Linked DNA regions of Yarrowia lipolytica. The main gene of each other region encodes a partner of the protein of the gene in region 2 in a complex. Links are inferred from orthologs where the notes say so. Each region holds a gene or a part of one and is shown on either strand. Other genes may lie near its edges. The genes, in order: YALI1_C23548g, YALI1_D15744g, YALI1_E28130g and YALI1_A21565g.

The links.
Region 1: YALI1_D15744g (region 2) and YALI1_C23548g share a complex: the UniProt entries of both Saccharomyces cerevisiae proteins name them as parts of the mitochondrial large ribosomal subunit. The link is inferred for Yarrowia lipolytica from reciprocal best matches to the Saccharomyces cerevisiae genes RML2 and MRPL28.
Region 3: YALI1_D15744g (region 2) and YALI1_E28130g share a complex: the UniProt entries of both Saccharomyces cerevisiae proteins name them as parts of the mitochondrial large ribosomal subunit. The link is inferred for Yarrowia lipolytica from reciprocal best matches to the Saccharomyces cerevisiae genes RML2 and MRPL22.
Region 4: YALI1_D15744g (region 2) and YALI1_A21565g share a complex: the UniProt entries of both Saccharomyces cerevisiae proteins name them as parts of the mitochondrial large ribosomal subunit. The link is inferred for Yarrowia lipolytica from reciprocal best matches to the Saccharomyces cerevisiae genes RML2 and MRPL40.

The regions. Positions count from the first base shown.
Region 1 is NC_090772.1:2,352,336-2,358,204, forward strand, and holds YALI1_C23548g (mitochondrial 54S ribosomal protein mL40), read right to left. Parts: upstream 2,520-5,869; coding exon 2,079-2,519; downstream 1-2,078. Other genes in the region: YALI1_C23526g (uncharacterized protein), read left to right, coding at 274-317, 1,046-1,424; YALI1_C23563g (uncharacterized protein), read right to left, coding at 2,866-3,966. UniProt on the Saccharomyces cerevisiae protein: Component of the mitochondrial ribosome (mitoribosome), a dedicated translation machinery responsible for the synthesis of mitochondrial genome-encoded proteins, including at least some of the essential transmembrane subunits of the mitochondrial respiratory chain.
Region 2 is NC_090773.1:1,571,693-1,578,011, reverse strand, and holds YALI1_D15744g (mitochondrial 54S ribosomal protein uL2m), read right to left. Parts: upstream 3,552-6,319; coding exon 2,280-3,551; downstream 1-2,279. Other genes in the region: YALI1_D15792g (uncharacterized protein), read left to right, coding at 1-1,369; YALI1_D15734g (uncharacterized protein), read left to right, coding at 3,847-3,978, 4,515-5,027; YALI1_D15696g (uncharacterized protein), read right to left, coding at 5,091-6,319. UniProt on the Saccharomyces cerevisiae protein: Component of the mitochondrial ribosome (mitoribosome), a dedicated translation machinery responsible for the synthesis of mitochondrial genome-encoded proteins, including at least some of the essential transmembrane subunits of the mitochondrial respiratory chain.
Region 3 is NC_090774.1:2,810,261-2,816,474, forward strand, and holds YALI1_E28130g (mitochondrial 54S ribosomal protein uL22m), read right to left. Parts: upstream 2,807-6,214; coding exon 1,928-2,806; downstream 1-1,927. Other genes in the region: YALI1_E28107g (uncharacterized protein), read left to right, coding at 436-477, 745-892, 1,277-1,323; YALI1_E28150g (uncharacterized protein), read right to left, coding at 3,817-4,722; YALI1_E28156g (uncharacterized protein), read left to right, coding at 5,379-5,443, 5,498-6,002. UniProt on the Saccharomyces cerevisiae protein: Component of the mitochondrial ribosome (mitoribosome), a dedicated translation machinery responsible for the synthesis of mitochondrial genome-encoded proteins, including at least some of the essential transmembrane subunits of the mitochondrial respiratory chain.
Region 4 is NC_090770.1:2,152,832-2,158,833, reverse strand, and holds YALI1_A21565g (mitochondrial 54S ribosomal protein uL24m), read right to left. Parts: upstream 2,331-6,002; coding exon 1,425-2,330; downstream 1-1,424. Other genes in the region: YALI1_A21554g (uncharacterized protein), read right to left, coding at 2,843-2,883, 2,943-3,492; YALI1_A21550g (uncharacterized protein), read left to right, coding at 3,837-6,002. UniProt on the Saccharomyces cerevisiae protein: Component of the mitochondrial ribosome (mitoribosome), a dedicated translation machinery responsible for the synthesis of mitochondrial genome-encoded proteins, including at least some of the essential transmembrane subunits of the mitochondrial respiratory chain.

The DNA.
Region 1 (5,869 bases), on a different chromosome or scaffold from region 2:
CACTATAATTGACGGAAAATTGGCCGCGAGTTGAGATGGAGCACCGTTGTGGAATCTGTTGCGCCAATCTCTGGAAGCGAAAAGGGCGATTACGTAATATAGGAAGGGGAAACTTGCTCAATGCCCGGAAACGTTACCCGCTCCCAGTCACCCTTGCTGCCCTCAAATGTCTCCACTTTGTCCCTATAAATTTTCCCGTGGGCTCTCCCATCCAACTTTCACCTCTCCACACCACATAACCACACAACCACATACTCGCACAACACTCACAACATGTCCGACCTTCCTTCCAGTTTCGATAACGGTAACAGCATTGAGTGAGTAAGAAATAAAGTGGGGATTTTCGGGGGGGATTCGGGGGTATTTATATTGAGGGTGGCGAATTACGCAAATTACACCGGGCGTGTGACGCAACTTTGAACCAGGCGGTAAAACGACAAAACCAGGAAGAATGGGCAGCGACACACAGACGGAGAGATACATGGAGGTGGGAAAAACGATACGAACGGGTCCGACTTGTCAAATTGGCCACTGTTGCGAAGGAGAATATTCAATGGCAATATCTTGCTACAAGGGGTGAACAGTGAAGAGCAATGTTTGGGTAGTTATCCTACAGCGAGACCCATAGCGGTCTTATCTTATGATTCGGTCTTGGGTGTTGGCCTGTGTCATTTGATATCGTCAAGCTCTTTTTCGAATGGAGTCCTGGTCATTGAACCAACCGCAAGTACCGTGCTTCGGTGATAGGATGAGACCACTCCAAACGATAGGGACTTCTCCGACGTCAGAAAAAAAACACCCAGCAGCTCACGATACCTTCTTAAGCCGCGGTGGTCTTTGACAGTTGACTCAGCCTTTCTCCTTCTACCTCGCTACCAAAACCTGTACCTGCTCTATTCTCGCTGACTGGGCTGTCAAGCAGCTCTCATCATATTGCAGCCAAGCACCCTCCCCAGCCCCTCTATTTGAGCGTTGCACGACCTTCTCGACTGAGAATTCTATGGTGTGATGCTTTCCATTGACTCACTTCATTGTACTAACCCAGCGAAAACGAAAAGTCTCCCGGATACTACAAGATTCTCGAGCGATGCAAGGAGCAGCCCCTTGTCCCCCTTGGCTGTCTTGCTACCTGTGGAGCTCTGATCCTCTCTGCGCGAGCCCTGCGAGTGGGTAACAAGCGCCAGGCCAACCGAATGTTCTTTGCTCGAGTGGCGTTCCAGGGTCTGACTGTGGCCGCCCTTATTGGAGGAGCTATGTACTACGGCCAGGACCCCAAGCAGAAGCTGGAGCAAAAGGAGCGTGAAAAGATGCTTGCTCGACACCGAGAGAAGCTGTGGATCGAGGAGCTCGAGCGACGAGACCTGGAGGTCCAGGAGCGACGAAAGCGAGCTGCTGCTTTCCGTCAGCAGGAGGAGGAGAAGTAGAGGGCGTGATTATTGCATAGCAATTGCACCCCGGCCAGAAACATGTTTCACTGGCGAGAATTTCCTAGTGTGTCCTTCCAGGGAAACATTTCTGAGTCGCACAGTATCGCATGCAAGTAAGCGGTACCAGAGTTTAGTTTTGTGTATATAGTTAACGTCATGATTGAGGCGCGTGGAGTGTAGCGACGCGGTTGTACTATAGAGCGGTTCTTGATACGAATGTGCACTCCATTGCGAGAATACTCTCAGTTCCGTTCCTTCTAAGAGCTGTACCACTCTACAGATCTGCGGGTAACACCGATAACAGAAGGACTTGCGCCGTGGTTACTACTGCAATCTTCTATGCCTCCGTTTGCACTCGTTATGATGTGTGACCAGGAGCTGACTTGTCTCTATACGAATCCTGTGCATAACGGGCTGTTCGTACGAGGCTTGGAGTCATTTCGTCATTGAGAAGCAACTCCATGACCCTCACCGCTGTCCTAGGTCTCCAGCCCCTCACCAGTGCCCTAGGTCTCCAGCTGCCTCATTCAAACTCCCGCACTGGTGTCTCACTCTCAATCAATCAATCATACCTTTTGCTATGTACATTTTATCCTAGTGGTGGGACCATCTGTGGGGTTGTGTAACGTCCTGTTGTGTTGGTGTCCACCACTACTTCTTCACCTCGGCCTTCCACTCAGACTGCCAGATTTTGTTGGGGGGAGTCTCGGTAGGCACTCGCATTTCGATGGGGAACTTGTTGCCCTTGACTCGCAGCACGGCGGCGTTGAACAGGAATCCGTCCACCTTTCGCAGTTCCTCGCACGTGTCTTGCAGCATCTCATACTGCTGTCTGTGTTGCTGCTCTCGGGCCAGCTTTTCGGCCAGCCGCTCCTCTCGCCACGCCACCTGCACGATTCGGTGTCGAATCAGATCCTCCTGGCTGAGCTCGAGCTTCTTGGGAGCCATTCGCTTGGGCGACATGGCCGACATCTGGTTCACGAGCTTTCGCGCTCCAGGGTCCAGATCGTTGGCCGTCTTGGTTCGCTTGGTTCGCAGGGCCAGCTGGGGCACCCGCCGAGCCACACAGGTCGTTCGCACGGTTCCAAACATTGTGGTCTTGTGTGTGGTGTGGTGTGGTGTTGCACAGATCAGGTATTTTTTCAGCTGGCAGAAGGGGACATGCAGCGGCCGTAAGTTCGATTTGCACCTGGCAACTTTTAAAATTGAAATTGAAGTTGTTGGGGGTTCGATTCCGAGGGAGGTCGTTCCAGGAAAAGAGATACAGCAACAGTCACTCCGCGATTCTTCCTCAATACAAACATGAATTCTGACATTCAAACAGCCTGTACCTGTCCCCGTACTAATACAGTACAGTATGTACTAGACATTACTAGGTTGTGATTGGTAAGCAGAGCTTGCTGTCGCTCACTCGTACTCGTATAATACAATAAATAATCTACTTTTTTCTAGTAATAAATATCGAGCTGGGTTTCTGTCGCCGAGGCGGAGGAGAAGCTCTGGTTAGTGGTGGTACAGATGGCGGGGGAGGCGCTTGCGCGGGTGGCAGAGGCGGGGAAACGTGCCGATTGATTGGGGGAGGAGATTGTGGTGGAGTGGTCGAAGTGACGACTGGCGCAGTCTCGGGTCCAGGCCCACGCCTGAAAATACCCATATCTGTCCGCTGCACCTTGGTAGGCGAGGCGCTGCCGCTCGAGTGTCCAATGGCGTTTGTTTTGGGCATGGGAGTGGGCCGTTTGAGAGGTCGCTTCAAGGATGTGGTGCTCATGGCTTCAACAGGAACCGGAATGGACGAAATGCGGTGGTCCGAATTGAAGCCTCCATTGACACGGACGGTATCACGACCCGCAGAGGGCTGGGGGTCACGTGTAGGGTCACGTGGTTGGTTTCTGTTTGTGCGGTCGAAAAACGACTTGCGGTTCGTTTCCAGAAATGTGGGGTTGCTGGGGGAAAACATGCTGCCCTTGGAACGCATTTCCAGTCGCAATCGACCCACAACAGACGACTTTGCTCGCTGAATGTATTGTCGTCGCTGAGAAGACTCAGCCCGCGGGTCCACGTCCAACTGGGTGATCATGATTTCCGACTTGCGTTGTTGTTCACGTGCAATGTTTCGTTTGAGCCGATTACTGCTCTCGCGCAAACGAGTCTCCTTTTCCTCCTGGTAGCGCAGGTATGTTTCCTTGAAGTTCTTTTTTGGTAATGGGCGGTCAGAAAAGTCGCGACCGATGAAGTGCTTCCATACTGGTTCCGAGTCGCGTGCAATATGTGGAGAGATGGACTCAATGTGGAGCATTTGGCGGCACTTGAACTTGCGGAGAATGGGCTCCACCAAGTGGTAGGGCGTATCGCCGATATCTTGGATTTCTGAGTTAGTAACCGTGATGAGTGTGGTCGGAGGTACGGGGTAACGAGTGGACAACACCCTACAGGGTGTTAGGAGGTTGGAAAGAGCCCATGGAGCAGTTCTGGCCGTGGCATAGTTCAGAGGCGCCAAGGGTAACAGTCTGAGGTGCTGTCTATCGAAGCATACCGACATTTGAGCTGAATCCCGGTCATTTTTCCGCTTATTGTTGCAGCTCAGACACACTGACAGCGAGATTAGTTGAGAACATGGCTTGGTTTGAAGCAACTAGTTCTGAACACCCTGGCCGGTGGCACAGAGACAACCTCAGAACCTGTCTTCACAGCCAGAGCCAGTCACAGGACCAAGAACGGAGGTCGGTTCAACTCAGTCTGTGTCACAAGGATGACACAAATGAGCATATAATGGCCAAGAGCGTCGACAGACACACAAAATGACACGGCGTCATGCTCGCGAGACTCAGTCTCGGCCTCCACGTTTCCATTCTCTTCTCACCTAGCAAAGGTTAACCAAATCGTCCCTGACTCCTGAATGACGTGTCCATAACCTGTGTTCAAATCAGGAGTCCCCAAGGGGTCTTGCTGAACGCTCTGACCTGCTTTACACGCACAACCTCGAGCTCCCGTTTGTGTCTTTTCCGATTGTGTACTCACGATGACTGTGCCTCTGGCATGTTTTGCGGGCCAACTCGACCAGGGAGGGGACTCCCTTGGATGATCGAGCTTCCAGCTCCGATAACGACAGCATGAGAAGGTGTTTACAGCCTCGGGCAAGTGATTGGCGAGATATAGAGGATTTCAAGTCGTTTCGGGCTGGTACCTAGCTGTGGTCAGCCAGATATAAATATGCACTATAGAGTTTGCACGTGACGCAATCAAAACATGGTGGCGGATGAGTGGCGATATTGGTGGCCGACGGAGAGGATTTGGAAGAGGGGGAAATGTTACTAAGAAGTCTTGAGAATATGAGTTTGTTTTTGTTTTTGTTTTTGTTTGTTTTTTCTGATTCTTGCAGATTTTTTCTGATTCTTGCAGATTTTTTCTGATTTTTTTTTTTTTTTTTGCTATTCTCGCCTTTTTCTCATAAAGTCACCCATGATGAGTACAAGTAAATGCTCCATTTAGGGGGAAAAAGGGGAAATATATATATTTAAAAGAAATTAAAAAAATTAAAAAATTATTGTGGACTTTAGATGGATTTTAGGTGAATTTAGGTGAATTTAGGTGAATTTAGGGGAATTTAGGTGAATTTAGGTGATTTTAGGGGAATTTAGGTGATTTTAGGGGAATTTAGGTGAATTTAGGTGGATTTTAGATAAATTTTAGGTGAATATAGGAGGATTATGAGTGAACTTTAGATGGAATAGATATTTATTCCAGGAAATTCAGAAAAAAGAAATAGTTGAGAATAATTGAAAGAAATTGAAGATAAAAAGTAGCAATGGGGTTAGATATCTTTGCATGGACCAATATAATCCATAGAACCCTTTTACGGGTCCGTATAAGCCGTGTATTAAAGCTCAAGCTATTTCAATCAGCGATATCTTGAAGTACAGCCAGTTCAAGTGCAACTTTCAGTTCTTGAGTCATACGAGAGTCGTATATCTATTAATCCTTGCTAAGATTGATTTTATCTTCTATATTGTGTTTTTTGTCCTATCGTGTCACGCTTTGTAGGACTGGAACATGTTCACAACTCCAGATCTGGAAGATAGCTTCTTTGCGTTTTTGCCATTATCATATTGCAAATCTCAAAAAGTCTGTCTCTTTGTTCAAGGAAGACCTTACTGTACGTCTGGAAAGCTGACAGTTCCACAAATGAAGGTCCCATATCCGGTCTCAAGTAGTTAATGTTACTTTGATATTAGTATCTACCTGGAATTCCTAGTGATGAGATCTATAATGCATCTTCATCATTGGAACCCACTAAACGTATACAATGTCTACTCGACAGGAGCCAACACAAGTCTCCCGATATCTCCTCTGGCCGATCGTATTCAAGTCGGGTGAAACAGACCCCATATCCTCTCTACGCTATTCCCAGTCCCTACTGCAAAAGAGTTGCTCTACGTCATCAG
Region 2 (6,319 bases):
ATTCAGTGTGGGTGCCGAGCACTCGCACCGACTAAACCGAATTCCCGTCGTCTCGCACTGCGACATGGCCATGGGCTCGTGGATGAACAACCTGCCGCCGGAGCTCAAGTACTCCGTCAAGGATATGGGCTCTCACAACTTCTACAAGGCCCTGCTCCACTCACAATACTACACGATTCTGTGTCTTGTGCACCGAAGCAACATTCTGCAACGGCGAACGTCAGAGGCTAACGAGAGCGCATACCCTTCGTGGGGTATCGCGTTCCAGGCCGCTCACATGATTGCCAAAATCATGGAGAACATGTTAGCGTATAACGAGCTGCGTGACACCCCGGCGTTCATGGTGTACACGCTCTTTTCGGCCATGATCATGCTTGTGTACCAGACCGAGTCCAAGTCGCCGTCGGTGGTTGAGTCTGCCAACCGGTCGCTGGACGTGTGTATGAAGGCCCTGGAGGAATGCGGCAAGACGTGGGTGGTGGCACGAATGGTGCTCAAGCTTTTCAAGCACATGAACGAGTCGCAGCCCATTCGAAATCACATGGCCAAGACCATCCGACGTCATGCTAGAGGCGTCAGCAAACCCGACGCAGCAAAGCAGCAGCAAATGCCTCAAGCTCAGCACCAGGCTTCACAACCACCACATGGCGCCCAACAGCACCATGCCCAACAGCAACGACATGCCCAGCAACAACAACAACAGCAGCAGCATGCTCGACAGCAACAGCAGCAGCAGCAGCAACAACAACAGCAACACACACAACAGCAACAACAGACGCATCAGCCACAGCCAGAACGCAAGTTCAACAATCATGCGTTTGACCAGCAGCAGCAATCGCAGCAGGAAGGAGAGGAGTACCTGGGCGATAGACAGCCTCCTACAAATCCCGGCACCCCTTTCAACGGCACGCTGCCATCCAAGCCCGGCACCCCGCATCCGGACTTTTACTTTGTCACTAACACCCCGCCGGCTTCGAACACCTTCTTTGAGTCGTTCCAGCCCATGCAGCTTTTCCCCGACGTGACTGGCGATATGTCTAACCTGCAGTCGCAGCTCCAGGAGCCCGCCACCAGCGCGCTTCCTCCGGACATGTTTGCCCACGCCGACGGAGCCAGCCACACCGAAGGCGGCACCTACAAGTCGTCGCCCGAGGACGAGCCCACCGCGGCCAGTGGATTTGGATACGCCCCTCAATCGCTCAATATTGGCGACTGGTACCAATATCTGATGATGAACGGTGAAGGGGGTGCTGCTGCTGGCGCTGCTGCTGGCACTGCTGCAGGCGCCCCTGGTTCTGTTCCTCCAGGTGCTCCTGCTGAGGCTCATCCTGAAGCTGCCACTTCCAACTCTTGGAATGAGTCTCACTAAAGGAAAAAGAGAGGTTCAAATGAACTCGACGCTCGGTTCAAAAAAGAGAAGTGTTCTTCTCAAGTATTATAATATATATTGGTTTTATTGAGTGGGCTAGGGTTTTTGGGTGAATGTAGACTTTTAAAGGGGAACACAGTGGGCCAGCTTGGGTTTGGTCCATGAAGTACGAGTATCGTATATAGTATAAAGACTAGACATATCTATGGACAGACACCTTGAATACTGTATCTGAATTGCGTCTTGTGTGCCTTGTATGTGCCTTTTCTGATCCTGTAGTAGGCATATTCGCGGCTCAAGGCTGACTACTTGCAGGATGTGTCTTGACTAATAGTTAAGGTATAAGTATTCACCAACAACGCGTCAACCAACGAAACCTAACTCACATCTTGCAAACTGGAATACTGAGGCATAACAGTATTACAAAGCAAAATATTGTCGTTTATTTGTTCAGATCTTGTATATTCTGTATGTAATGATACTATTTGTTTCTTGCTAACATGCCAGCAACCCTGAAATGTATACCATCAGCATGAATTATCTCCAACTATTACCAACCAAACAATCTTAACTAAGTAACTAGATGCAGCGTTCTTCGTTCCAGGGCTCGCTCAGCATGATTGGATACGTGCAACATTAACAACCACTTACACCACCGCCATACTGGTACGAGTGCAGCACAAGTAGTTGTATCATACTTGCACGAAGCCCTCTGTTCCGTGTCTCTGCTTTGTCTACATTATACCTCTGTCTTGATGTATGGATTGTGTTAACATACATAGATGGTTCAACAATATATATTGCAGTTCCATGGCAGCTGATCATACCAGTACATACTTTGGTCACTCTTTTGAGTCAGTCGTTTTCGTTCGTTCGTTCAATACGGTCCCGTTCACTTATACTATATACATTACTTTCGCTGCTCCTTGTATCGAGGTCGATCCTTGAGCTTGTTGGGGTTCTGGTGCTTGCCTCGTCGGGTCTTGTATCGCTTGGCCAGCACGCCCCAGATGGATCGCGACGTCACGTTACCCTTGGACTTTCCTCGTCCACCTCCGTGGGGATGGTCGCAGGCGTTCATGGCTACACCTCGCACGGTGGGTCGGATACCTCTCCATCGCGATCTGCCGGCCTTTCCGAACGACTCGTTCTGATGGTCAGGAGCAGACACCACACCGATGGTGGCCGAGGCCTTGAGATGCACGTATCGCTCTTCGCCACTCTGCATTCGCACGATGGCCTTGTTCTTGGCGGGCTCCTTTCCAATGAGACGTCCGTAGGTTCCGGCAGCTCGGCAGAACTTGGCCTTGCCGTGGGGCTCGGTGGAAATGGCGTGGATGACGGTACCCACGGGGATCATCCACATGGGCAGACAGTTGCCCTTTCGACACAGTCGGTAGGCCAACATGGCGGGGTCGGTCTGGCCGTGGAACTCGTCAATGATGTTCTGGGGGATGCCGTTGAGGAACGACTGCACCGTGTCACCGGCTCGAGTACCCTCGGGAGCAGTGATGTAGGAAAAGTTGCCGGACTCCTTGTTCTTGAGGAGCGCAATGTGGCCGCTTCGGTTGGGGTCTCGCTCGATCCGCACAACCTCGCACTCTCCAGTCTCCTGTCGGAAGAAATCAATGAGCCGCACTCGTCGTCGGTGTCCTCCACCCTGGTGTCGAGTCACGACTCGGCCAGTGTTGCTACACCGACCGTTTCGGGCCTTTCGGGCCACAGTCAGAGCCCGGTGGGGCTTGCCCTTCCACAGGTAAGGGTAGATGGCAGCCTTGTACCATCGCATGGAGGGCGAGATGGGAGTCATGGTCTTGAACTTGACGGCGGCCTTGGTGATCTTGCGCTGGCTCTTCATGTAGATATCCTGCTTTTCCAGAGCAGTCAGATCGACCGTTTCGGGCACCAAGGTGATGTCGCTGACACTGGTGTTTCGGGCAAACATGGCGGCCTCCGAGTCCACAAACGGCTTCATTCGAGTGGGTCGGACCCGCTGACGCTTGGGAGTGGCGCCCTTGATCTCCTCGTCGATAAACGAGTCCTCAGCCACGGGGGGCTGCTGCTCCTGTCGCAGTCTGGGAAAGGTCGAAAAGGCCCGCAAGGGAGCCAGCGAGATGGCCGGCTGGATCGCTCCGATACGTCCAATTCGGGCCGACAGGTGTCGAGAGACGAGTCGGTTCATTTTGTCGAGGTTGGGGCGACGGTACGGAGGTTTAGTATTTTCGCTTTTGGCACCTTGTTCACGGTGATATGATTTGAAATTTCGCACCTGCACTACCCCAACCCTGATTTACCGCTTACGATTCCTCCCAACCGGTACCACAAGTACGGGCTCTATAGTGTGGAGGCGTGCCCAGAAATACGCTACCACCCAGCGTGCACGCCCATTGGCTCAAACCGAAAAATGGTGCGCCCCGTTTTCCTCCCCCGTGTACATATCGACACAGTTCAGCTCAGACACAACACCACACCTCAAGATGTTCGCTTCCCGAGCCATTCGAATGATGTCCATGCGGCCCATGGCCCGAACCATGGCCACCAAGGCCGCCGCCCCTGTCAAGGTCCCCGTCCAGCTCTTCGGCCTCGACGGTACTTACGCTACTGCTCTGGTGGGTATAATTGTGTTTTTTGGAAGGATGGAGGGGACGGTTTTCCCGGAGGAAACGGTGCAATTGGAAACGACGACAGCGAGGAATTGACAAGAACTGAATTGGCCTGATGGGTCGTGTTGCAGATGCAATTCGACTGGAATGATACCCTTGACACGTGGATGGATGCAATCATGGTGGTACTGTAGTAGAGGCCAGCACAACACTACTCAACATAATGCAGGAAGGGAGAGGAGGAGAGGAAGGATCAATGGGAGGCAACATGCAGCTGGCTGATTTAACGACGAATTGAGCAGCTCTCAGAGCTCGATATCGTGTTTTGTCAACCTTTTTGTTGCGTGTAACCTCGTGTAACCTCGTCACTGTAGGTTAATTGCTCAATGTTGGGGTAACACACACTCTATGGAGTAACAAGACGACATGCGCAATCCCTCTTCCCATGCCAACTTCGTACATTCTTCCAAGGCTCGACGTCAATTCCCAACACGCCAACTCCAGATAACACTTCCAATCTCTATTGCTATTTACTAACTCAGTACACCGCCGCCGCCAAGGAGTCTGACCTCTCCAAGACTGAGGGCTCTCTCGCCAAGCTGCGGGACGTGTTCGCTCAGCAGCCCGAGGTTGCCCAGATTGTCTCTAACCCCACCCTCTCTCACGAGGACAAGCAGACTGTCGTCAACGTCCTGTCCCAGGCCGTTGGTGGAGACAAGACTCTCACCAACTTCCTGACCGTCATCTCCGACAACAACCGACTGGCTCTCATCCCCGGTATCATTGAGAAGTTCGAGACTCTCGTCAACGCATCCAAGGGTCTCGTTGAGGCCACCGTCACCTCTGCCTCCGAGCTCGACAAGAAGACCGTCAACCGAATCCAGGCCGCCATTGCTGGCTCTTCTTTCGTTGGTGAGGGTGAGCTCAAGCTCAACCTCAAGGTTAACCCCGATATCCTCGGTGGTCTCATTGTCGAGGTTGCTGAGCGAACCGTTGACGTCTCTGTCGCCTCCAAGATTGCTCGACTCAACCACGTCCTTAGCGAGCCCATCTAAATAGACATGATTTAAATGATTGAATGTTATACGCTTACTTCGACTTCTGTAGTATTAAAAATGCTATCTATTTGCAGTAGTTTCTTTTTTAACCAAGTTTCCCTTACTCCTCTTGGAAGATGCAAATCCATCAGCAACCACAGTCTTCTTCCTCTTCTTTCTCACCGGCAGACCCTCGAAGTGAACCAGAGAGTTCTCAAACTGGTCGTGTTTATCGACCTTGATATACAGCGGGACAGGCTTGTCAAAGAACGCGACTTCGTCTGTCGTTCCTTTGTGAAGATTCTCCATGGATGTTAAAGCGTAGTTGAGAAGCGTTTCTCGCAGCTGGTCGTCGTCAACCATTTCCTTTGGGGTTTCGTCATTAGCATCTGAGATCTCCGTTCGACGTCGATAAATATCTTCCTCCAGAGTATCTTGGAGTACGAGGGTCTCTACGTGCACCTCCGACTTTTGACCAATACGGTGAGCTCGCTTGATAGCCTGAGCTTCGATGTCTCGTCTCCACACGGGAGAAAGAAAGAATACCCACGAGGCAGAGGTGATGTTGAGACCATGCGCAGCAGCGTTGATGTTCATGAGAAGTACCTGGAAGTTGTCCGTCGCTTCAAACGTGGCGAGATACTGGGCGCGTCTCTCCTTTGAAACCTTGTCTGTCGTGTAAATGAGGTGCTTGATCCCTACTGCTTCAAAGGCCTCAGCAACAGCGACGGCTGAGTCCACGTCTTCGTAAAAAACAATGATCTTGTGATCTTTAACAAGAACAAGAGTCTTGGACACCAGGTAAGACAACTTGGACGAGCCAGTTCCGACAATTGTGGGTTTGTCACTCACTGGATAATCCGCCTCCAATTGCGAATGGTGATTTTGAGGCGCTCCTGTAGGAGCAGACTCTACCTTCAAACCCACGCTTTCAAGATATTCTTCGGGAGATATTTTCTGCTTTGCATGATGAAAATTCTTGACGGCTGGATTCTTCTTGTCTTTCCGCTCTCTCTTATTGTCAACATTTCTGTTGTAGGATGTCCAGAATCTGCTTGAGAACAAGGGATCATCAGACAGCTCTTTAATAACACCCTCCAAAGGTGTGCCATCTTTGGATTTCGTTTCCGTCCACAGATCCAGCTTTTCATCCTCACTGGCGGCCCTTTGTAGATATGTCAGCGGTGCACCTCCAATAATTCCGTACTCACGCTTGTCTCGAACGATAAGGGGATTAGCCATCTGGAAGGCACGCGATGTGCGAGTCTCATCTTCCACAAAGAAGGGCATCTCTTGTGTTCCGGCAATCT
Region 3 (6,214 bases), on a different chromosome or scaffold from region 2:
ACTTGTACAAATCGTCTACTTTTCGGGCTACAAGTTGTGCTCATCTTGAAACTTACCCCACATGTGGACATGTGACTTGGACGTCATGTGATGTTGAGGCGGTAGGGAGTTTGGTAGGTGTTTATTTTATTTATTTGTTTATATTTATATTTTTATTTGTTTTATCTTATTTTACTATTTTTCTTGTTTTTTATTTTTATTGAGGACTTTTCTCTGTCTCCCTGCTCATTAATTCGCTTCGTATTTCCCCATTTATTCCTCCTATTTAACCATTCAATTCCCGTAAATTCACCTGAATTTTTCCTCCCAGCTTACTAAGCAGATCCAGCCCACGGGCCAATCACGACGAGGGTAACTAAAAGCCAAAACCACCACTGTGCATTTGTCGCCCAAAATCCAATATCAGGGAAACGAGACACAAACGGACACTCGACAATGATCAACGCTAACCCCGGCTTCTGGAACGGCCCCTTTCGAGTGAGTATCGCGCAGCGGGTTTCGAGAGCACAAAACGCCGCGGCCTGGCCGTAAACACACCCAGAAATGGCTATGTCAATCGACACAAGGTGACCCCAACACCAAAGAGACGTGGTGGGTGGAACGAATGACCGTATGAATGGAACGACCATATGAATGGAATGAACAGCTGATTCACTCTCGGGTCTTTCGTTTGTGCCACGTCACCGAGATGTCTGCAGACTATGTAGAGACTGACTCCGTCTGAGCCCCACTAACACAACCCAGTACCTTCGATGGTCTGCTCATAACCGACCCCATCTCTTCTTCGCCTTCGCCATTGGAATCGCCGGCCCTGTCGCCGCGCTCACACTGACTCCTCTACGAAGAAAGTACCTTTACCCCGATCACAGCCCCCTTCCCCAATCATATCCTCGTGAGTATTATTAAGAGTTGTTGCGTTGCAATGGACGTCGGTGGTTGACAAAACTGCCAGTCTGTCTGATGGTCTGTGATAGTCTGTGATTGGTCTGTGATGTTTGTGATTGTCTGTGATTTGTCTTGTGATTGTCTGTGGATTGTCTGTGGATTGTCTGTGATTGTCTGTGATTTTCTGTGATTGTTCTGTGATTGGTCTGTCTGGTAACTGGACGAGCTGATCCCAAGCCACCATGACTACCTCAATCAACCGAATCAGACTGCAGTCGACTAGATCAACTGACCAGACTACTGAGCTTCTACGGTCTGAGTCGCAGGCCCTGCGGTCATCGGCTCATACCGTCAGCCTCCACTGCACCCCATTTTTACTATACTAACCGAGTCCCCCAGCGTGCTCGAGAGCAGCTCACTGGCTTCGATGACGAGTAAATAGCATGAATTCATTAGACTTATAAGTTGCACAGACCGAGGGACGGCACTTGGAGGAAGATGGTCGGTACAATTGGACTGTAGCCCAACCTGCCGCAACACTTCATGATGGAGTACCAACGACCACCCGACAAGTTGGAGTCGTTCGGAAGGTGTATCTTGGAACAGTACATATATACTCGTACTTCTAGATGTTAATAGTCAGAACTCCAGATCACACTGTTCCATTCATATAAATGTCCTGACAAGTAGGTGCAAGTGCAGACGTATGACCAACACCTCTTCTCCGAGATTATGTTCGACAGATGATTAGTGTATTCTACTGTCTAAGCACAGCCCTTCGTCATTTACATATCAACTGGTACATACAGTACTCGTTCCTCTGAGCTCTTAGATCATCTTCACCTGTTTCATGGAAGCGATCTCGTCACCTGATATGTTCCAGCTGCTACCCCGTTGCTGCTACTTCTGTTACTCATTCTTCGGTGGCTTACTCGTTAAGAACTAACAACTCGTTTCGCACGCTATTCGCTCATCGGTTACTCATTTTGTTCATTTCGTTCGAGCAACGCGCTATGCTCGTCACTCGCCCTAGCTATATACATTACCATCGGTAGTCAGACTTGAGGTACCCATCTCCCACCTTTCGGGTCTCGTGCTGGAACACGGGCTTCTTGGCCAGGCGCTTGTACTCCTTGTCACGGGCCTCTCGCTGCTGGGTCACGGGGGTTCGCAGAATAGCCCGGATGTGGATGTACTCGGCGTGTTTCATGCCGGCTCGTCCTCGGCCCTTCGGGTCCACGAACCGGAACTTTCGGGGGTCCGAGCCGACCCAGATCTCGTCAATGTACAGAGTCTCGGGGTCAATGTTCATGTCCTTGGCGGCGCTGACTCCTCGCTGGAGCAGCTCAGCAACGGGTCGGCCCATTCGCTTGGCAGAAAACTGGCACTGAGTGATGGCCTCACGCACGTTCATCTTACGCAGCATTCGCAGCAGCAGCTGGGCCTTCTTCCAGGTGCCGTCGATTCGGTACGACTTGCAGTAGACAGAGGGCTCGAACGCCTTGATCTCGTTGGGCGACAGCACCATCTGGTACTCCCGGCCGTCGACAGACACCTTTTTGGTCTTGTCGTAGCCCTTGTGCTGGCTCTGGTAGGCGTCCCACAGCCGCTGCTTGAGGGCGGTGCCGTACTTTGCAATACCCACCTCCGCCTCGCCCTTTTGCTCGGCAATGTACTCCTGCAGCTTGGTGTCGTTTTTGAACGATGGCAGCTTGCCCTTGGTCTCGTCGGCGTTCTGCTCGACCTCCTTGGATCTCTTGTTTGCCGTCGCCTTGTCCAGATCCTGCTTGATGGACTCCTTGTTTTCTGTCATGCTGCCGAACCAGTCGTTGGATCGCGCGGCGGTAGAGTGGAACGGCCGCAGGGCAACCAGCCGGGAGGCCGGCGCCACGCTTTTGCCAAACATCTTCTTCCACAGCATGGTTGTGTGTGCTGTTATACGGTCAGTGAGGGCTCGTATGGTGATGCGTCAACTGGAGATAGATTTTTCAGGGTACGGGTTAACAGAGAGTCAACCTAAACGGGAGAAACTGCAACAACCGTGAGACAAGAGTATACTGTCGGAGCCGAATCGGAGTTAGGAGCGATATAAGTGGTTGTAGGAAGGAATCTTGTCCTCGTTTACACATAAGTCGGTCGAACAACACCAATAATCACCTCATTCTTCAATCCCCATCCTTTCTTCAACCCATGCAGTAGTCTGGAGAGTGGTGTCGGGTCCCGTGGGTTCGATTCCAGGTTGTGTTCATTCTTGTATGCACTTTTAGAATTGTTAATATGTTGATGAAGAGCACGGTTTTTGGTTATCCTGGGGTCTACGTATGTATTAATTCTGTCTTTTGAATATCTCTACTATCATTACTTGTTTCAGTAGACACCTCCTCTCTATATATACTCGGATATATTGACATGATTTAGTATACACAGCCAACAGAGTGGTTATTATTGGTACTGGATTAGTAAGCAATGTAAGATCACGTGAGAAGACACAACCGAAACAGCTGTCTCAGATTCTTCGCTCTTGACACTTGTATCTCTCTCATGGTGTCTGGAAGCCCGCAACCGAGACATATAGCATGGTCTTTTTTAGTTGACTTTTAGTTGAAAGAAGAAGTTGTGATGGGTTTCTGTCTGGTGCTCCAGTTGCTTTCGTAGAGAAAAAAGCGTATAAAACTGTAGAGCAGTGTCACACAGTCTCCGATATATACTATTGACATGATATTTCTGTTACAAACTCGCCCATTCGACACAGTTATGTGATTTCAAGCTGATACTTTACTTGAATGTTTAGTTGACAAGTGTGTCTGGCGTGGGTCCGAATACAACGACTACAGTGCTCTTTGAGATTTGCAGTGTCCACTCTCTCTACCCTCTCATGTCATAATCATTAAATATGTAAATGCAGTGTATCACGATTTTCTATCCTCACGGTCACGCCATGTCTCTCAGTTCCACCTCGCCCGAACGCAACAGTCGATGGCCCTCATCGCTGTCGTCTTCTTCTCCCATCACTTCCACGTCCACGGGCTTCACGTACTTCCTCTTGACCAGAGGACGACATCCCTTGTATTTCACCTGCTGGTAGAGCAGAACGAGATCCCAGAAAAAGCGGAACCAGCATGCCCAAAAGAGACCCGAGGGACGCACGGCCCGCACGACTTTGTTTCGGTTTCTCTCCTTGGTGGGCTTGGCCTTTTTGGCGCCCAGAACGTCGAGAATCCCGAAAAACGCGCCCGCCAGATCCAGCACAATGAGCAAAAACGACGAGCCCACACAGCTCTGCACCGTCCAGTTGCACGACACCTGCGGCACGTAACGGGCGTAGACGCTGAAGTCTCCGATGATTCCAAGCCAGTCCACCACGTCAATGAACTTGATACCCAGATAGCCGACTCCAGGAGGCGAGGGCACCTTTGCAAAGGGATGGGACTTGACCGCCATCAGCAGGAACACAAGCACGCCGAAAAAAAGACCCATAATCACCTTGCATTCCAGAGACCACGACTGCGCATTGGTCTGGGTGTGTCTGTATGAATACCACGCCTGCACAGCACACACGCCCCACACCAATGACTCGTTCAAGTCAATTAGGGCAATCACCCCGGACGCGCTGGGCATATCAAACGCTAACGGGTATCTCTGCACAAACTGCCGATGGACCAGATCGCTGTTGATGTATGTGAGGGTGAAGACGAAATGACACACCGCCCCCACGAACGCCCAGAGTCCGTAGTCGAGCGAAAAGCCAGCCACCGACGACCGTTTGTTGTTGAGAACGGCCTGCGGATACGGCGTAAGCAGCCGCAACGCCTGGTGCAAATATATCCATCCCGTCATAGCTGGGTCGATATGCCGTAATTATATATGAGATGAGGTATATATTGAGACCGCGTATGCATGCTTGGTGCAGTATGCATAAACCTTAATATGATACATTATATAGCGGGGTGAGTTGGATATTGAGGTTGGCTGATATTGAGGTTTTGTCGATTGGGGAAAGGAGATTGGCGAATTTGGTAGACAGAAGAGATATTGTGATACATGTTCACACACTCTGCGGTTCATCCAGTACTTTGTAAGCGTAATATAGATTCGACTGTAACTTGCCCATTATTCTCACAGGCGACTAAAGAATAAAAGAAATGGATTCCTCAGATACAGAGGATCATTTTGGTACCAGGAACGGGTGGTTTAGATGGCGTTCATGTGCTGTTATGTGTTACTTTGACTTGTTATGTTGATGTTCTACTTAGAGAGAGTGGGAGTGCGGCAAGTGCGTCGCGGCAAGGGGTGTGTTTCCCCTGTTTTTTTTTTCCCCCTCTTTTTTCTTCTTCTTTCTACTCATCGCTTTACCACCCTCCTTTGGCGCATCTAACACTCCAACCATAGTCCTTCGACTCAATCGCCCAATTTGATCTCTTCACTTGTCACCAACCTCTCCTGTGCAGTTGTCATGTGCTCCACCACAACTCCTCTTCCTGGCGACATGACAAATGGGGCTACTCACGATCATCAAGAAACAAAAGCTCAAGGATAAGGAGATCCGTGTGCTCATGCTGTGAGTGAGAGGAAGCGACGTGTCTGGGTGTGAGAGGGAACAGTACTAACACAGTGGTCTGGACAACTCGGGCAAGACGACGATAGTCAAGAAGATTCTCAACGAGGACGTGAACGAGGTGTCTCCGACGCTGGGCTTCAACATCCGCACGGTGACAAGGGGCCAGTACAAGCTCAACATCTGGGACATTGGCGGCCAAAAGACTCTGCGACCTTTCTGGAGAAACTACTTTGAGAAGACGGACTTCATGATCTGGGTGGTAGACGCCAGTGCCACCGACCGACTCCACGATTGCCGCAAAGAGCTGCAAGCGATTCTCAACGAGGACCGACTGGTTGGAGCCGGAGTGCTCATCTGGATCAACAAGCTGGATCTGGTGGACCCAGATCAGCGGGACAAGACCGTTGAACGCATCAGCGGCCATCTGGACCTCGACCAGATCCCCGAGGGCCACAACACCACCATAATGGGCTGCAGTGCGTACACGGGGTACAATTTGGACGCAGGCATGGATCTGGTGGTGAAAGAGGTGTCTGAACGGTTGTTTTTGTTTGATTAGGAACGAGGAGCGAGGAGCGAGGAGCGTCTACAGTCAAGACTGGACTAGGAGAAAGTCGAAAACGTCGAAAAGTTGCATCTAAACGACGAAAAGAGGGTCTTTAAGTCATCAGTGCACGGCAGAAGAACCAAAGTGCTTGAACTGGAGGAGAATGTGGGTTGAATGGAGTGTGTACTACCTACAGTACTTACAATACTTGGTAACTGAGTTGT
Region 4 (6,002 bases), on a different chromosome or scaffold from region 2:
AGGTTTTGACGGGCAAACTTTTTTTGGCATCTGTCTTTCCAAACACAGCCTGGAGTCTGTCCGAAAACAGACGGATTGAGACGTGTAATTACCGTAGGTGCTTGTAGGAGTAAGACGTCAAGGGCGCTACAAGCGCAACCGCGACGTGTCGAGGCGGTGGTAATTTAACAGCCCACGGGTTTGTCTCTACTATGTGGCGATGGTGGTTTCGGCAAGCAGCGCTTGTATGGTTTTCAAGCCTACAAGTAGAGAGAGATTCAAATGTGGTTGCACGCCAGGACTTGTTAATTTTGGTTTTGTGAGACCTCTTGGCAACATAGCCATGATTTTAGCCGCCCACCTTCAGACTCGCTCGACAGTTGCGAATTCTATATGAATTACATATTATGGCAACCTGGTGATGTAGATCGCCCTGTTCAAGATTAGCTACTCGCAAATTGGGCAGTTTGAGGTTGACTTCAGACTGGGAAGGTAAGGGTCAGACCGGGCGACGCGAGACCGTATTACGTGAAAGTCTGAGGGGACAACATGTTTGGGCGGTAGTTCATTTTCTACAAGTATTTACCAATACGTTACAAGCACGTTACTCATATAGAATGTGCTGTAGTTAGCAAGTCTACGGCTGTTATTGTTTCTGAGACAGAGGCTTTGACTACTAATGAGTTAGACAGAGGTCCAAGACGAAGACTTATGAGTGTCTAAGCTCATATTTCTTTGCTGGGCTGTTGGGTAGCCTCTTACATAAGCAGTTTTGAAGTTGAGAGGTGAGGGATGGAGTCTGGAGGGCGTGGTCGTAGTCCACTTCTTATAGTTGGAATTCCCGATGGTAGTTGAGGAGTAACTACTATACAATAATGAAAAGTACGTGAAAAAAGTAGGAAGATTTGGCCGGACTTGGAATTTAGTAAGATGGATTAGAGATAAACGATATCTGAGAATTTAGTCATTCTACTTGCTCCACTATCAGATAGACCACTGCTTACACCCTCATACTCGAGACAAGGCATGTGCATGAGCTCATCACTCTACAAGTTCTGTACTACTTGTACTTCATTCTCGAGTGCATCGAAGGGTTGACGAAGAGACACCTATGAAGACACACTTTAGACTGGTTTACCTACTATGCACCCACTACAAGTAGTAACTTGTTACTGTACGCTTTTTCGATACAAGTATCCTTCCTTTACTAGACTACACGGCCGCGGGCGATTTGTAGTCCAGAGATCATAAAAAAGCCTACGATCAAGATGTCTCTATTTCATTACGATAAATAGGTCCGGAGAACTCGTGGTTTCGTGGTTTCGTGGTCTCGCGGTCCGCGACAACGAGGTTACTTGACGACGTCAGGCCATCAGGTCTAGAGCGTACTCACGGCCTACATACGCTCTTCAAGTCAGAAAATTGCTATCATGCTACTATATACACTATTTATACTTGAGGCCCTTGACTCGGTCATGCTGGCCCACCTGGGCGTCAGCGTGCTTCTGCATGACGTTGCCAATGAAGGCCTCCATCTCAGCAGTGAGCTTGTTCTCAGGCTTCTTGTGCTGGGGTCGAGCGAAAAGCTCGGGGGTGCCCTTGGGGATGAAGGGCTTGGGGGCTGTGAGGAGATCGACCTCTCGCTCGGAGAATCGCTTGAATCGCTTGTGGTGCACGTTTCGAATGTCGGGCAGAGCTCCGATGGGGAAAGGAGGCTTGACCAGAGAAGTGACCCAGTGGGTTCGTTCTCGAGCCACATCTCGCTCGGTAGAGCCCTCCACATGCTCGACAGGCTCGAGAGGAGCGGGCCATGGCACCTGGGTCTTGTGATCGTGGGCCATGACTCGTCGGGGGAGCACTCGCTTGTAGGCAGGGTCGTAGTAGGTTCCCACGCACTCCACGGCAGCAATAGCAACCTCGGTGGTGGTACCGTCCTCCTCAGGTCGCTGGGCCACCAGACGCAGCTCCGACTGCTTCAGAGGGTTGGGGAACTCGATCACGTGGGTGGTCTGTCCTTCCTGGGCCATAGCAGGAGGAATTGGGAAGGTCTGAGTACCGTTGACTCCATCAACCAGGTAAGAGTTTCCCTCCTCGTGTCGAGCCATGATCTGAGACACCTTGCCCTTGTCGGGGCCAGCCAGGATCTGGACCTTGTCGCCGGGCATAAAGTGCCATTGGCTCTCCTTGGTGAATCGCTCCCACTCGGGAACGGCATGGCTGGCCAGAACCTGCTGGAACTTGGGGGCCTTTTTGAGAGTGGCCCGCTGGATCCGATCCACACGGACCCGAGGGTAGATGGTCTTGGGGTCGTGGATGAACCTCGATTTCAGTACCGTCCGCGTAGGTCTCATTGTGTGAGGGTGGTGGTTTGTATGAGTTCTGATGAAAATGAAAATTTCAGGCCCTTGCCCTGTTGGGAGGGTTCGAGAGAAATGAACATCAGATCGATTTCATTGGCGCACAGAGAGAGCTGAGAAAAAGGAAGTAGGTGGGAAATATAGAGCGGGTTATTTCACATTGATTTACGGATTTTCATACACTCTGGAGTCTTGATTTTGTGGTCATCGTTGCCGTCGAAAATTTGACGTCACGTGCACTTTTTACCTCTCCCAAACTCTATTTATGTCACCGAAGATATCACTGGGACTTGTCATGTTTGCTTATGTAAGAAGACTGACAAAAACCAAGGATACCACCAAACTACTTCTACAGTACTTGTAGGTCGATCATAAAGATCAGCAATAGACATAAAGGATGCTTCAAATACGGTATATGGCATTAGACTTAATTAATACGTTAAACACATGTACATCCACACAATTCCACCAGCTGTGGATGATAAAAATACATTAGATTAAATAAGCTAGTTTTCGGTACAAATGGCGATGAATTCCTCGAGATTGACTGTGTTAGTAGACTTCTTCTTTGTGATGCTCCATCAGCTCTCTTTCACTCATACTCACTTCCTCCATCCTGGTCAAGGTCAAACTCCTCAATCATGGCCTGCAGTTCACTCTCGTCGATATTTTCGTTGAGTTCTCGGGCCACCTTTCGCAGGTTTTTGATAGTGATAATACCGGTGTTGTCCTCGTCAAACAGCTGGAAGGCCCGCTTGACCTCCTCCAGCGGGTCTCGGTCCAGAATCATCTGTGTCATAACCTGCTCAAACGCCTCCCACGTCATCACGCCCTGCTGTGTCGTGTCGTTCTCGTCCAGAATCTGCAGCACCTCAGCCTTCTTGAGCTCGAAGCCGAGTGCTCGCATGGCTGCTCTGAGGGTATGAAAGTCCAGAGCTCGGTTCTGATGGGCATCGAACAGGTCGAAGGCCTCCTGGATCTCTTGTCGTTGATCCGCAGATAATTCTCGCTTGGTGGCAGCCACGCCCCGAGAGGGGAACGCCGTCTGTTTTCGTCGTGCCGACTGCATTATGGTGATTGTGGGGGTTGTGTTTGTACTGTGGTGATAGGTTGTGGGAATAAACGAGACGCGTTTTAGCCTAAACTCGTTGTGCATTGTCTACGCATACATGTATTGTAATGTAGGTTGGTGGATGGGATTTGTTTATAGATGGCGAATGCAGAATAATCATATCTACAAGTAGCAAAAGTGAGGTCCTGAAGAGTCGATTTGGAAGTTGATATGGGCGAGAAAACTACATAGAATTTAGTACGCCAAAATCACGTGTCGGGCCGTTATTTTATAGGGTGTTATAGCTACCAGAAGTACTTAACTATGCTAACTAACTAACTAACAAATTTAGGATATTTCATTTACCGTCGGCATGCAGTCCGAATATCTACCTCCACGACACTGCGACACATCACGAGCACCACTGCTACTGTACGATACTTGCACACATGAAAGTCGGAGATCGCGTGCGGGTCAAGGGAGTGCCGGCGCACGTCCGATTCATCGGACCCACTCAGTTCTCCACGGGAGAGTGGATTGGAGTGGAAATGGTTGAGGGACAGGGAAACAATGACGGCAGCGTCCAGGGAGTTCGGTACTTTGAATGCAAAGGAACATCGGGAAAGTTTGTGAGACGACCACAAGTGGAGACAGACGCAGACCTCATGCCGCCTCCAGAGGTGCCTAGACCGTCTCAACGACCCCAGTCGGCCATGTCAGACGTCTCAGACTCGTCTACAGCTTTGGCCAAGCAGGTGGAGAGTCTCAAGGCCAAGCTACGTGTCACAGATAGCAAAAGAAAGCTTGAGCGAGAACAAATTCAGCAACTTCAGACAGATTTGCGTGAAAAAAAGAAACTCGAGACAATTGTCGCCAAGCTGGAGAGTAAACTGCGTCCCCTGAGTGACGAGGTCAAGCAGCTACGCGCCGATCTCACCAAGACTTCCAATGAACATGCCCATGCCAAGGTGAAGCTGGAACAGCACGAAGACGCTTTGGAGATGGCTACTCTTGACAGAGAAATGGCAGAAGAAAAGCTGGAGATTGCCAAACGAGAAATGGAGGAACTGCGACAAGAGCTCAACGTGCCTTCGGAGAGAATCGACTCAGCTGATGAGGCTGCCATTCAACGAAACGCCCAGCTTGAAGCGGCTCTTGTGAGTCTACGAGACTACTCTACGGCTCAGGAGGCATCTCTCAATGAACAGATCAAGCAACTGAACTCCAAACTTACAGACTATTCATTGACTCAATCGCAGCTGGAAAGCTCTGAGAAGCGGCTTGAGGAAACCCAGGCTACCCTACATGAACTGAGAGCCCAGCTGGATGATGTCATGGTGTCCGAGACGCTGATCGATTCTCTGACGGAGAAAAACCTGGCTCTTACAGAGTCAGTGGAGAAGCTGCAGGCTACAGTGGCCGAGCTGGAGGAGCTTAAGGAGCTGAATGATGAGTTAGAGGCAGGTCACGTAGCCACACAGAAGCAACTTCACCAGGAAATCGCCTATCTGGAATCTGAGCTGAATCACGCCGAGAAACGAACCAACGATGCACATAATCGCCAACAGAACCTTGAACAGAGCGTCATGAGATTTCGAGAGGTTGTAGCAGACTTGCAAGCCGAGATTGAATTGTGGGAGACAAAACACCGTGAAAAACAGCACGACAACGAGTCCATGGTGTCGCATGTAAAGACAGTCATGGAGATGAACCAGAAACTCCAATCCTCAGTGGCATCTACACGCAACCAAGAGATTGCTTTGGAAATGGAAAAGCTGTCATCTCAACAGGCTTTGGACAAGCTGGCTATCTGGCATTACTTTCTGACGGCAGCGGAGAGTCCCATCACTATTCCAGGAAGCGATGTGGATGTGGTTGTTTCTGCGCATTTGCGATTTAAGCGTACAGCGGCCTTACTGTCTATCATAGTTGAGACGATTCTGGGTGCAGATTACGATGAGACATCTGTGGAGGAGCAGCAACTACGGTTAGCTCTAAAACTAGCTCACGTCTCTGCCCTGGCACACACTCTAGCTACTCTGCTAGAATGGCGTCCAGATGTCGATGCGCCGTTTCTACATGGAGAGTCTGAGCAGCTGGAGCAATCGGTGAACTCCTACATCGATACTGTCAGCGAGGGGGCCCTGCTTGTGGACGAAGCTGTGAACATGGTTCCTGTATTCATTCAGACCTTTGACGACTTTCTATCTACACAAACAGACTACAACAGAACCTACTTGGACATGTCTAAACTGGCTATACACACACGTGTGTCTATTCTGTTACTCAAACAGCTCGGGCACAGGAGCTGTGCCAATTCTCTTTCCAAATTGAAGTACTGGATCGATAACCAAGACAAGACTGCTCGAGTTCCAAGCCCCATCATTGATAATGCCGTCCAAACACTCTCTGATGTCTCGGTCTTTGCCATGCAACTTCTACATGACGACGATCCGGATTCTGCCTACACAGCCATCTTTAAACGGTCCTCAAGCAAACCCTTGTCGGCTGTGGAGAAGGATATCATCAAGCTTACCGAACAGCTGTCTACTTTAGACTTCTCCGTCTCTCAGAATAACGATCTACCTACCTGGGCTCAGCTACAGCCTAGACAG